Linked DNA regions of Schizosaccharomyces pombe. The gene in region 1 interacts genetically with each later gene. Each region holds a gene or a part of one and is shown on either strand. Other genes may lie near its edges.

The links. A genetic interaction does not mean that the proteins touch.
Region 2: mutations in mug73 (region 1) and ani2 together harm fitness less than expected from each alone (positive genetic interaction), as found in Schizosaccharomyces pombe (one large-scale study listed by BioGRID).

The regions. Positions count from the first base shown.
Region 1 is NC_003421.2:620,203-627,653, reverse strand, and holds mug73 (transporter mug73), read left to right. Parts: upstream 1-3,126; coding exon 3,127-4,047; 3' UTR 4,048-4,138; downstream 4,139-7,451. Other genes in the region: rpl1202 (60S ribosomal protein uL11), read left to right, coding at 1-442; RNA-binding protein mlo1, read left to right, coding at 1,429-2,166; msy1 (MS ion channel protein 1), read right to left, coding at 4,595-7,451. UniProt on the Schizosaccharomyces pombe protein: Has a role in meiosis.
Region 2 is NC_003424.3:4,326,647-4,330,161, reverse strand, and holds ani2 (FKBP-type peptidyl-prolyl cis-trans isomerase), read left to right. Parts: upstream 1-1,693; 5' UTR 1,694-1,790; coding exon 1,791-2,879; 3' UTR 2,880-3,015; downstream 3,016-3,515. Other genes in the region: dolichyl-diphosphooligosaccharide--protein glycosyltransferase Ost1, read right to left, coding at 1-1,058; SPOM_SPAC27F1.10 (uncharacterized protein), read left to right, coding at 3,369-3,515.

The DNA.
Region 1 (7,451 bases):
TGGTGAAGTCGCCGGTGGCTCCACCCTTGCTCCCAAGATTGGTCCCTTGGGTTTGTCCCCCAAGAAGGTTGGTGAAGATATTGCCAAGGCTACCAAAGATTGGAAGGGTCTCCGTGTGACCGTCAAGTTGACTATTCAAAACCGTCAAGCCGCTGTCTCGGTTGTTCCCTCTGCCTCTGCTTTGGTCATTAAGGCTTTGAAGGAGCCTGCTCGTGACAGAAAGAAGGACAAGAACGTCGCTCACTCTGGCAATGTCTCTCTTGACGAAATCATTGAGGTCGCCCGTACTATGCGCTTCAAGTCTCTTGCTAAGGAGCTTTCTGGTACCGTTAAGGAGATTCTCGGTACTGCCTTCTCTGTTGGTTGCACCGTTGACGGCAAGAACCCTCACGACGTTCAAAAGGAGATCGACAATGGCGAAATTGAGATCCCCCAAGAATAATCGCATACATAAGTTAATGTAAACGGATTATGTGCTTGCTTGGTAGTATACGGGTTTTGTATAAAACAGCAATGTTTAGATCTTGATGTTTTTGCTATCTTTTTATAGGGTTCAAAAAATACAGTGTTTAATATAGGTTTCTCTTGCATATCTGACATCCGGGAAAACATCCAAAATTTTGCACTGGATACTTTTAATTTAAAAGTTGTAAACGTTAAGGCGCTTGTAGTTTAATTGTGCTTTAATGATATTATTTGTTGTTGATGTCGGGTTTTTATAAATTGTATTCATGAAAATATTTCCTGGAATGGTAGAAAGAAATGTTCATACTTGATGAATGGTCCGTTTTAACACATTAAACTATGACTGTAATTACATGTGATTTTGTTTTTATTTTTGAATACTATCAACTGCTCTTGAGCTAAGATACTAAACTAATAATTGCCTGTTAAGTTCATAATCGTTGTAAGCATATAGTAAGGTAAAGCAAACGTAGCAGCAAATACCCAGTTCAATAAATGGAGTTTTTTCACTATCTACAAGTAAACTATAATAATAACTTTGTAAGGAACGAATGAATGATTTGCTCTTTCTTCAAGCTCTTTTAGTATTCTAGAAATCGGTTTAAAATGCCAATTCAAAATTACGATTAATTAAAGTAAAAAATAAATATTAAATAATCTAACTGATTACTGATTTTGATTCGTACATTTCATATAAAAGGGAGAAAGTATATCCCAACATCGTTTATAGACATTTTCTTTGAACCATCTCCTCACCATAGCACAGTAAACATTACATAGCGATACGCAAAATAGCACCACTATGTTTGACACAATCATCACTCCAATTCACTACGCTTCATTTGCGCATCCAACATGTCTCACTAAAGTTGGCTGGTTCGTACATATTCACCCTTGTCAACTGCGTATATCCCGAATTCAATAAACGTGTTATTTTGACGCGCATATACGTCTATATTCATAATGTCAGATTACAAGAGTCTTAAAGTTGCAGAACTGCGTGAAAAACTTGCGGAGAAAGGCCTCTCCACTGCTGGAAACAAAGCTGAATTGGTAAGCCGATTGACAGCAGCGACCGAGAGTAACGATGAAAATACTTCGAATAACAACGCTACAGATCTAGGAGATCTTGCTCCTCCCGAGGATGATATTGATTGGGGAGACATGGAGAATGATACTATTTCAACTGACGTTAACAAGCCAGCAGAACCCGAAAGTAAAGAGACCAGTGCTCCTGCCGCTGCTGTAGAGATTGAAAAGGAAAATGAAAGCATTATTTCGAAAGAGACTTCACAAGCTCCTGAAACTTCCACTGGTGCTGAAGAGCATCAAGAAACCACAGAGGAATCCAAACAAAGTGTATCTAATGAAGTCTCTAGCCCAGATGTAGCTAAAGAGCAAGAAAAACTCATCCAAAGGGCTAAACGATTTGGCATTCCTGTGGACGATGAACAAATTAAGAAAGCTGCTCGTGCTGCACGTTTTGGCATTCAACAACCTTTAGCGTCAAGTAATAACAAAAACCATAATCAATCTAAGAACCCTCAAAATCGTTCCAACTCACGTTCTAAACAAAGAAATAAGAATGCGCCTCCTAAAAGTGCTCCATCCAAGCGGAAGAGTAATATTTTGGACGACCCTATAGAGGCAGAAAAAGCTAGGAAGCGTGCTGAGCGCTTTGGTGTTGCTGCCAAGAATTAAAGTAACCATTTAACATATTTTAACTTCTTATTTTACAATATGACTCATGTTTCTTGAAGTTTTCTCCTCATGCCATGCTTTATTTGTATGCTTAATGCTTTTTTGATGAATTAGAACTTTTGAATTCCTATTTGTGTATATAAATTATACCCAGACTTTTGCTTCACTTTAAACAACTTATCCGAGTACAAGCATCCGATATTGGAGCCCTAAACGCTTCTAATTTCAATCCTACCTTTTAGGTGTGTTTTAAAACATCTGTGAAAACTCGGTTTTATTTTTTTAATAGCTTTTTGGGGCGTGATGTAAGTATTTCCTAGGCGAATTCTTTAATAGTTACCTATACTCATATGTTTTCCATTTTTAAAAAACTCTTCGTTCTAATCGTTTTGACATACACATTCGTTACAAAGATTTTCCACTCTGCTATCCATATGTATATATTTTGATGAGCTTATTTGTATTTAAGAAAAAGAGAAGGATTGTAATGTTTATATGATGTATCCACCTTTACTTCCAACAATGTCGAAATTCTTAATTTTTGTACATAAACTATTTTCTACAGGTTGGAATTTTATTTTTTTATTATACCTTTTTGTTTCTCAACTTCGGACTTCTTCTGTAACGTGCGACTTTACCTGTTTTGCTGTCATCGGTAAGTAAGAAAAAGTGAAAAATTTGACATTGCTGGCTGTAATGTTCTTTTGCGTTTTCTCAATTAGAGTCAATTAAAATGCCTTTTAATGGGAAAGAGTAACATCATTGTTTGTTTACATGTTGAAGTTTGTTTGTTTACAAACATGGCTTTTTAATCGACTTTTCTCAGAGCCACCTTCACCGTGTCTCAGCTACCCATTATTACAAAGTTTTGACTTTTCAACTCAACTAGTATCGCTACCTTTAAGAATATAAGAGTTGTTTCTATATCTTTTAATCCAGCCTCTATCCTGTTTACGCATCATGAATGCGAAATTATCTTCCTCCGGAATGGTACTGAAAGAGCTTCCGGAAGTCGCTTTGCAAAAGATAAGCTCAAACTACTATTGGGCTGTTTTTGCAGTGTTCCTGCTGTGCGCAATTGTCTTTCCTTTAGTATCGATATTCAGTTTGCCTCAAAAGCAGACTTACCACCGTTTCTTTTCCATCCTCAGTTTGGTTTCTTGCTTGGCCTACTTTACCATGGCCTGCAATTATGGATTGAAAAATGTGTTTTCTTCTGCTTCTTTTTTTCGAGAAGTTAGTGTACGAATGGTTTACTATGTTCGCTATATTCAATGGTTAATCAATTTCCCATTAATCATCGTAATGCTACATTGGACGGTAGGCGTATCTATACTAGAAATTGCATATGTCGTTTGCTATGTGCTTTTTGCGATTGTTTGCTTACTGGCGGCAGCATTAACTTCATCTCCCTATAAATGGGCCTATTACGGATTTTCGTTTGTAGGCTATTTTATTGCATTGGCACACTCAGTCGTTTTGCATAAAAAGTATGCTAGCCGTTTAGAGACGTCTGCGCGCCTAGGGTTTTTATGGTCAATTGTTTACTTACATGTCATTTGGTTCCTCTATTATGCATGTTGGATTTTATCTGAGGGCCTCAATGTTATCTCGCCAATTGGAGAAGCCATATTTTACAGTATATTAGATCTTTTCGAATTCGGCTTTTTTGGCGCTGCTTTTTCTTGGATGCTAGACTTGGTTGGTATTGAAAACTTTAAATCGCCTCAATCGATACCCTTAGGGGCATGCAGTCCTGCTGATGACAAGTTTTCAATGTGTCCGGACATGGAGGCACAAAACCAAGCTGATGATTTGGCCGTTGAAACTCGCATTCAAATTTCCAATTTACCTTCTTCACCTACGAAAAATAATTGCTAATAACAGTACGCATCGTTGCAGTTATCTTTGCTTAGTTATAGAAATTTACCTTCCGTTTTTTTTTTTTTTGTTTTTTAATCATTATTTGTTTCCTGAATGTTTAAAACAAACTCGAAGTTTCGCTACGAGAATTTCGTTGGCATTCTAAAACACAAACACTTTTTCGTGAAAAATTACGATTATGAAAACGAAATAATTATTATAAAAACGAAACCTTTGAACAATTATTAACGTTCATTCGCACTTGAAACGTCTAAATTTACGACGGTGAGTCATTGTTTACGTGAAAAAAGCATTATACTAGTTTTAGTTTAAGATTATTCGTAAATCATTTGCATAACTTTTACGAAACTTTACAAGGCATAGCTAATATTAATACAAAAATTTGCTGTTGAGATACAATATACGTTTAAACATTTCATAGAATAATAAATAAAAACTAAAAAAAAGAAACAAATAGTGCCCAAAATGGTAAATAGCCACTTTCAACGAATGAAGTAAGTAAAACTAGCATGAGCGATGCAAGTTTGCAAAGTGTTATGGGTATTTAAAGTCGAGCAGACTTAGAAGTATTATTTTCGTTTGGCTCACGTAAGTCTTGAATTGATATATGCTGCAACGGAGGAACTGTACGAGCACTGGGTCTAGCCGACAAACGACTAGCTTTAGAGGAAAAGCTAAAACGAGCACCTGACGTACGCGATGCATTTTCGTTTTCTTCATTCGAACTAGATTCTTGTTGAGAACGTTCGTACTCTTCCTCTTCGGCTCGGCGACGTTCCTCAGCTTCGCGTCGCATGGCCTCTGTGCCAGCGTTTTCAATGACAGCATCGGGAAGACTATCACGACCAAGCCTTTTACTTCCAATATCAGCAACATCATCAAAAGCAGGCATCAGATGCCGTGTTCCAAGGGAAAAGTCAACACGCTTTTTAGAAACACTAGCGGTATCGGAATCTGAACTACCAGGAGGAGTAGGTTCGCGGTAAGGATATGCTTTTGGGTTCTTCAGAATTCCTCCGCCAACAGTGCTGTCGCGATGATTTTCAGTACCACCACCATCATTACCACCAGATAACTTAACACCCTCCATTGAACCATTGTTGAAGTTGACATACATAGGTGAATCCTTTGATTTACCAGGGCTGTTGAAAATAGGAGATACAATATCCAATTCCTGCATATAAGTCATCAATGCACACATAAACATATTTCTTCGACGCATACGTAAAACCTCGTCTTGAAAGTTATATTTATGAAAGAATACAACACACAAAGACATGGAATAGAGATCCGGTAAATCCGTAACTTCAGTTAGTAAGTCAGGTTTATAATCACGCTTCTCTTCTTTCAAAAAATCAATAATTTTGATTCGCAGTTGTTCAATTTGCTGAAGAGTAGTTCCAAACTTCAGGTTAACGGTGACTGGGTCAGCAATGCCATCACTACGACGCATGTTCAAAATCCAAAGGGTGTTCAGCAAACTGTTTGGAGCTTGAATGACTTTTCCAGTCAATAGACGAAACTCGGTAGACATGATGGAAATTTCCTTGACCATCGCTGAAGTGACTGTGCCATTGATCATGACATCGACACGATCGCCCACATCGTAAGGATGTTTCACAAATACGAATATAATAGAACTAAGTAATTCCTGTGCGGAGCCGGAGAACAGCCAAGACAAACCTAGCAAAGTAGTTCCAGCAGAGGTAAGTACACCGCTAAAGTTACGGGCAATCAAGTATAAGAAAATAAAAAGAGTAATGACAGCCACTATAAACATGCAAATACCATCAAGCTTAGAAATGGAATCGTTCAAGTCACGAAGTGAAGCAGAAATGCTCTTACGCTCTTTTCCAATTTCCACACATGCGAGTTCAATTTCTTCACAGGTGATATCACCATTTAGATCACGATCAAAAATAGAATAACATGCCTCTAAGGTGGCATTATCCACTTCACCAGTTTCATCGGTGTATACGGGAATAAAATCATCCAGTACTAAATCGGGATTCTCAGGATTCACCAATGCCTCAAATAAGCAACGAGCTAGAGATTGACAACCGCGTGTGGTCTTTAACAAGTGTAGCACAACACTTTTAGGAGAAGAAGATTTTTCGACCTCACGATTAGTAATCTCACCAGCCACTTTGTTAACCATATCCGTAGCGAAGTTGAATGCAGAGATAGCTTTGTAAGTGGTTTTATTCAATGCATTCTGAGCAACCCGAGCAGCTGCTGCGCGCTTCTTGCCATGTTGGTGATCAGCAAACTTAAAAACATCTGCTTGAGCACGATGGATAGCATCTTTGAAATCAAAAGAACGCTGTCGCGCATATCCATACAAACGGGCGAGTTCATTAATAGCAAACTTATTGTAAAGGATTCTAGATTCATATTCACGACGGTGAAGCGACATGGCGATCAACTGCATAAGTACTTTCTCCACCAAATTCATAATTGAGGTGATGAATAAAGTGATAAGTACATTGTTGGCGCTCTGTTGCCAAGGGAGTTTTACGCGTACATGATCAGGTACACCATAATCACCAATATGACGGCGGGTCATAATGGGAAGGAAACTGACATATACAGCTAACATCCAAAGGAACAATGTAATAGGAAACTCAAGGGCAACTGCCATGCATCTCCATTTAGTAACGTTGTTACTGATGAAGGAGACGAAGAAGGCAAAGAAATAAGGAATTACTTTGGCAGCATAGCGAGCAGCCCATATAGAGAGCCATATAATTTCCCACCAGATGGCCATCCACATCAAATCAACACCTCCAACGTGTAAATGGCGCTCATATTCATGACCTAGTTCATCACGGTAAGGAGGTTGTGGGTGATAAAAGCGACCAATGAATACTGGAATCAAGAGTAAAACCCCGAGAGGAATAATGTAAATGAGCGAACGAAGGTAAAAGCTTCGCTGTTGAATAAATTTGAATATGCGACCAAAAATAGTTACAGGATGGTCCGGAGCCTTAATAGGAGCTTCAGTACCAAACGTCACTACACCAAAGTTGTCTAAATGATTCTCAGCCTCTTGAGCGGCTTCTTCATTCTCCGCAGTACGTTCATAATCGCCCGACTTTTTAGACTTGGAGGTACGCATGGATTTAGAACGATGGGAAGAAAGGCGTCGCATAGATCCGCGAACACTTCGGCCGGTAGGACGTCTTTGCAAAGACTGAGAACCACGGACAGCCATTTCGGCATTAAAAATCTGATTTTCATCTTCCAAAGTCATGTGCGAGCGATATGAGACGACAGAAGCAATAGGCGATCGAGATCGCTCATGTTCAGGAGAGTGCGGCAACTGCCTTTGTTTGGATTCTGGGTGCAACTTTGATAGTTCCATTTCCAGGGACGAAGTATCACTAGTCCCAGTATGACCT
Region 2 (3,515 bases), on another chromosome or scaffold:
ATGTCACCAGGTGACCATGCCAGAGGAATATCAAGATATTCCCTTCTATTCTTGGAAGAGCGGAACTCCTCGTAAGGCATTTTCCAATCCAATTGGAACAAATAGTTCCATCCCCCAAATACAGGATAGCGAGGATTTAACTCGATCCATGTCTGGTGAGGCTCAACTCGCATATGAGATGTGGTAATGTTTCCCACCTCATCGGTATAGTAGACATCCTTGGAATTTCTAGGAAGACTATAGACGACTCGATTAATAGCAGTAGAAACTGGATTGTAAAAGTTTCCCATATACCACTTGGCACGATCGAAGTTGGACTTCAGCTTGGCAGCATGGTTTTCAAAAACCACACGCTCCGAGACTTCTAACATTTTTCGGTATTCATGCATATCAATTTGAACATAGAGATCAGCTCCGCGAGGAATAGGTACAGTATGCTCATAGCGAACATAGATTTCACCTAAATCATTGTCCTCCCCGGTGATAGTCTCACGGCTTTCGTAAACCAAAGTATTGCCAACACGATTGGGAAGTTCAGCTCCATCAATATTATACGTAGTATATGTGTCAATTTTAGCAGAAGGGAGTATAAGACGAGTGCGTTGAAGATCAGTAGTGTAGGGACTATCTAAGTAAAGGGTTGTCAGGTAAACCAAATATTGTTCTTCGTCTTGATCCACAGCTGCTGGTAAAGGACGAACACCACCGTCCAAACCTGCCTGTATTAATAAAGTACGAGATTCACCAGGTTTGACAGGAGGTTGTAAAGGAATATCATAAACATTGTTGTTAACTTTTATAGGGTTAGTTCCTTTCTTTTCTTCCTCTTTTATCGATACGGAGAGAGACAAGACACTTTCGCCAGGTGAGGTCTGCTGAAAGTAGCGATATGTATTTTGAGGCTCATCTCCTTCATTTACAATAATTAAAGAAGTGAGAGTTTTGGTATAAGTGGAGCGTAAATCAATCGTACGAATCGCGTTACTATTTCTCCATACCTGCTCAGCTAAACTGAGCCCAGATATGATGGACCACAACAATAGCTTGAGAACTAACATTTCTGAAACCCGCAACCAGTGAAACTTGGAAAGCTCAACACTGTTTTAGAATAGGTAATAAATGAATTTATTACAACCTTGAAAAACGCTGTTTACAGATAACCTTCAAGAGGCTATGCGTTTAAAGAGCGGTAATACGTTCAGGTTAGGTTTGCCAGCCCAAAAACCAACAATATGCACAACGTAGTGTGTATACACTCGTTAATATCTTTAATGACTTGGTGGACTAGTTCGGTATACACATTCCGATTAAAAAAAATTGTTAAGTAAAATTAGATATTCGAATAAATAGTAGTTTCTCCGTTAAATTAATGCTAAAATAATTATGTTCCGTTCTTGAACTTTAAAGAAAATTTTCACAAATAACCAGGCTTTTTCTCTTTGACTACTAAGATCACGAATGAAGATGACGGCGACTTGCTATTTGAGTATTGGTAGTAAAGAACGAAAGTACATGAAGATTAACCCCTACTGCTAATTATTTGTACCTTTTAAAATTTTCTATTGAGAATGCATCAAACTGAAAAACGCTTCTAACGCTTCCGTTTTGGTTCGGTAATAATAAGCTTATGAATAGGCGAGATAACATTACTTAAGGCGTCATAAAGGTTTGCTACTGGTACAATTTTTTCATCAACACTTACTCTACTCTGATATACCAGTGGTGAATTTCTGTGATTCCCATCGTCTATTGCGTATCTTTTTGGATTTTATTTATTCTAAATAAACAAAATGAGTAAGGAAGAGACCCTTTACAGTGTTAAAGTGGATCAGGAGCGTGTTCCTCTTTTCGATGAAGACTTTTATAAAGGCTTTCGTAGCGAATTATCTGTTCGTTTTACGATGGCAGCTTTGGATCCTAGAGCTAAATCAAATGATGCCGTTACAGTAAACGTGATCACTAGGCTTGAGCACCCCGAAGAAGATGGAGAAGAAAGTGACGAAGAACTTTTTCAAGAAGAAAAATTTACCCTATGCACCCTTAAAAAGGGCTCGGTTTACCAGCAACCAATTGACATTATTTTCTCTCCTGGAGAAGAAGTTTTCTTTGAACGAGTTGGTGGTGATATTCCGGTTTATTTGAGCGGAACATGCATAATTACAAACATTCCGGAGGAGGAGGATAGTAGTGACCTCGAGAATGACTTTCTTTATGGAGCAGATGAATTTAGCAGCGATGAAGAAGAAATGGATGATATTTCCGTTACATCAAGCGAAGAAGAAGAGGAAGAAAATGGTGCTCGTATAGAGGAGTTGAACAGTGACGAAGAGGATGCCGAGCAAGCAGAAGAAGAGATTTTAGAAAAGCCTGTTCCAAAGGATGAAGTTGCTGAAAAGCATTCCAAGGATAAGCTTAAAAAGGAAGAGAAAGAAAAGAAAACTGCTGTCGACGTATCAGATTCTGTGAACGGCAAAAAGAGAAAGACCGAACCCGCCGGTGAAGGAGAACAAACTGAGAAGAAATCTAAGTCTACAAAAACTTATCCTAAGCAAGTACTTGAAGGAAACGTTACGGTTCAAGATAAAGTTAAAGGTGACGGACCAGCTGCGAAGCGCAAAAAGCGCGTTTCTATGCGTTACATAGGTCGTCTTACTAACGGAAAGGTATTTGACAAAAACATTACCGGAAAGCCCTTTACTTTTAATCTTGGACTCGAGGAAGTGATAAAAGGGTGGGACGTTGGTATCGTGGGTATGCAAGTAGGTGGAGAACGTACAATTCATATTCCAGCTGCCATGGCCTATGGCTCTAAACGTCTTCCAGGTATCCCAGCCAATTCAGATTTGGTTTTTGACGTAAAGCTTTTAGCGGTTAATTAATTTTGTGTAGTTTGGTTCATAAAAAAATTATGGTTTAGTTGGGTCTGGAAATTACGGAATAGCAAATTTTTTGAATATTATTCGAATTATTTTGAGGTAAAGTAAGCACTCTAGTAGAAATATGTATGTTACTGAGACAACTAATTGGTCGCAGTAAGGTGAGGATCTTGAGCACTCTTTTAAACTGATGATAGAATTAGATGTGTGAGCAATAATGGGCATCAGAATAAATAAAACACTTTTTTTATTAGTCGTTGTCTTGAAACATGAGTGAGGGAAAGCACAATCGCTACTAGTTATCTACGGATATTTGGTGGAGCCACTAGAAAATTTTGTATTTGTGAATTTATTATATGAAGAAGGCTACTAAATACTCTTATTCCCTCAATTTTTTAATTGAGATTTCATAATTGGTTTTCGCGATATCTCTCATGTATTTTATCTACTGCAAGTTGATTTAGAATAAAAAAAGAAATTATACATAGTAGGATGCAATTAACTGGATCGATCTACCCATGGTTTACTGCGTATGCTTTATTGAAATCCACGCTGATGGAACTCATCAATTCGTTTATACCGTACAAATCTCAAACTGGAAAGGCACCAAAGTGTCTGGTTCCTTATTGGCTTTCAATT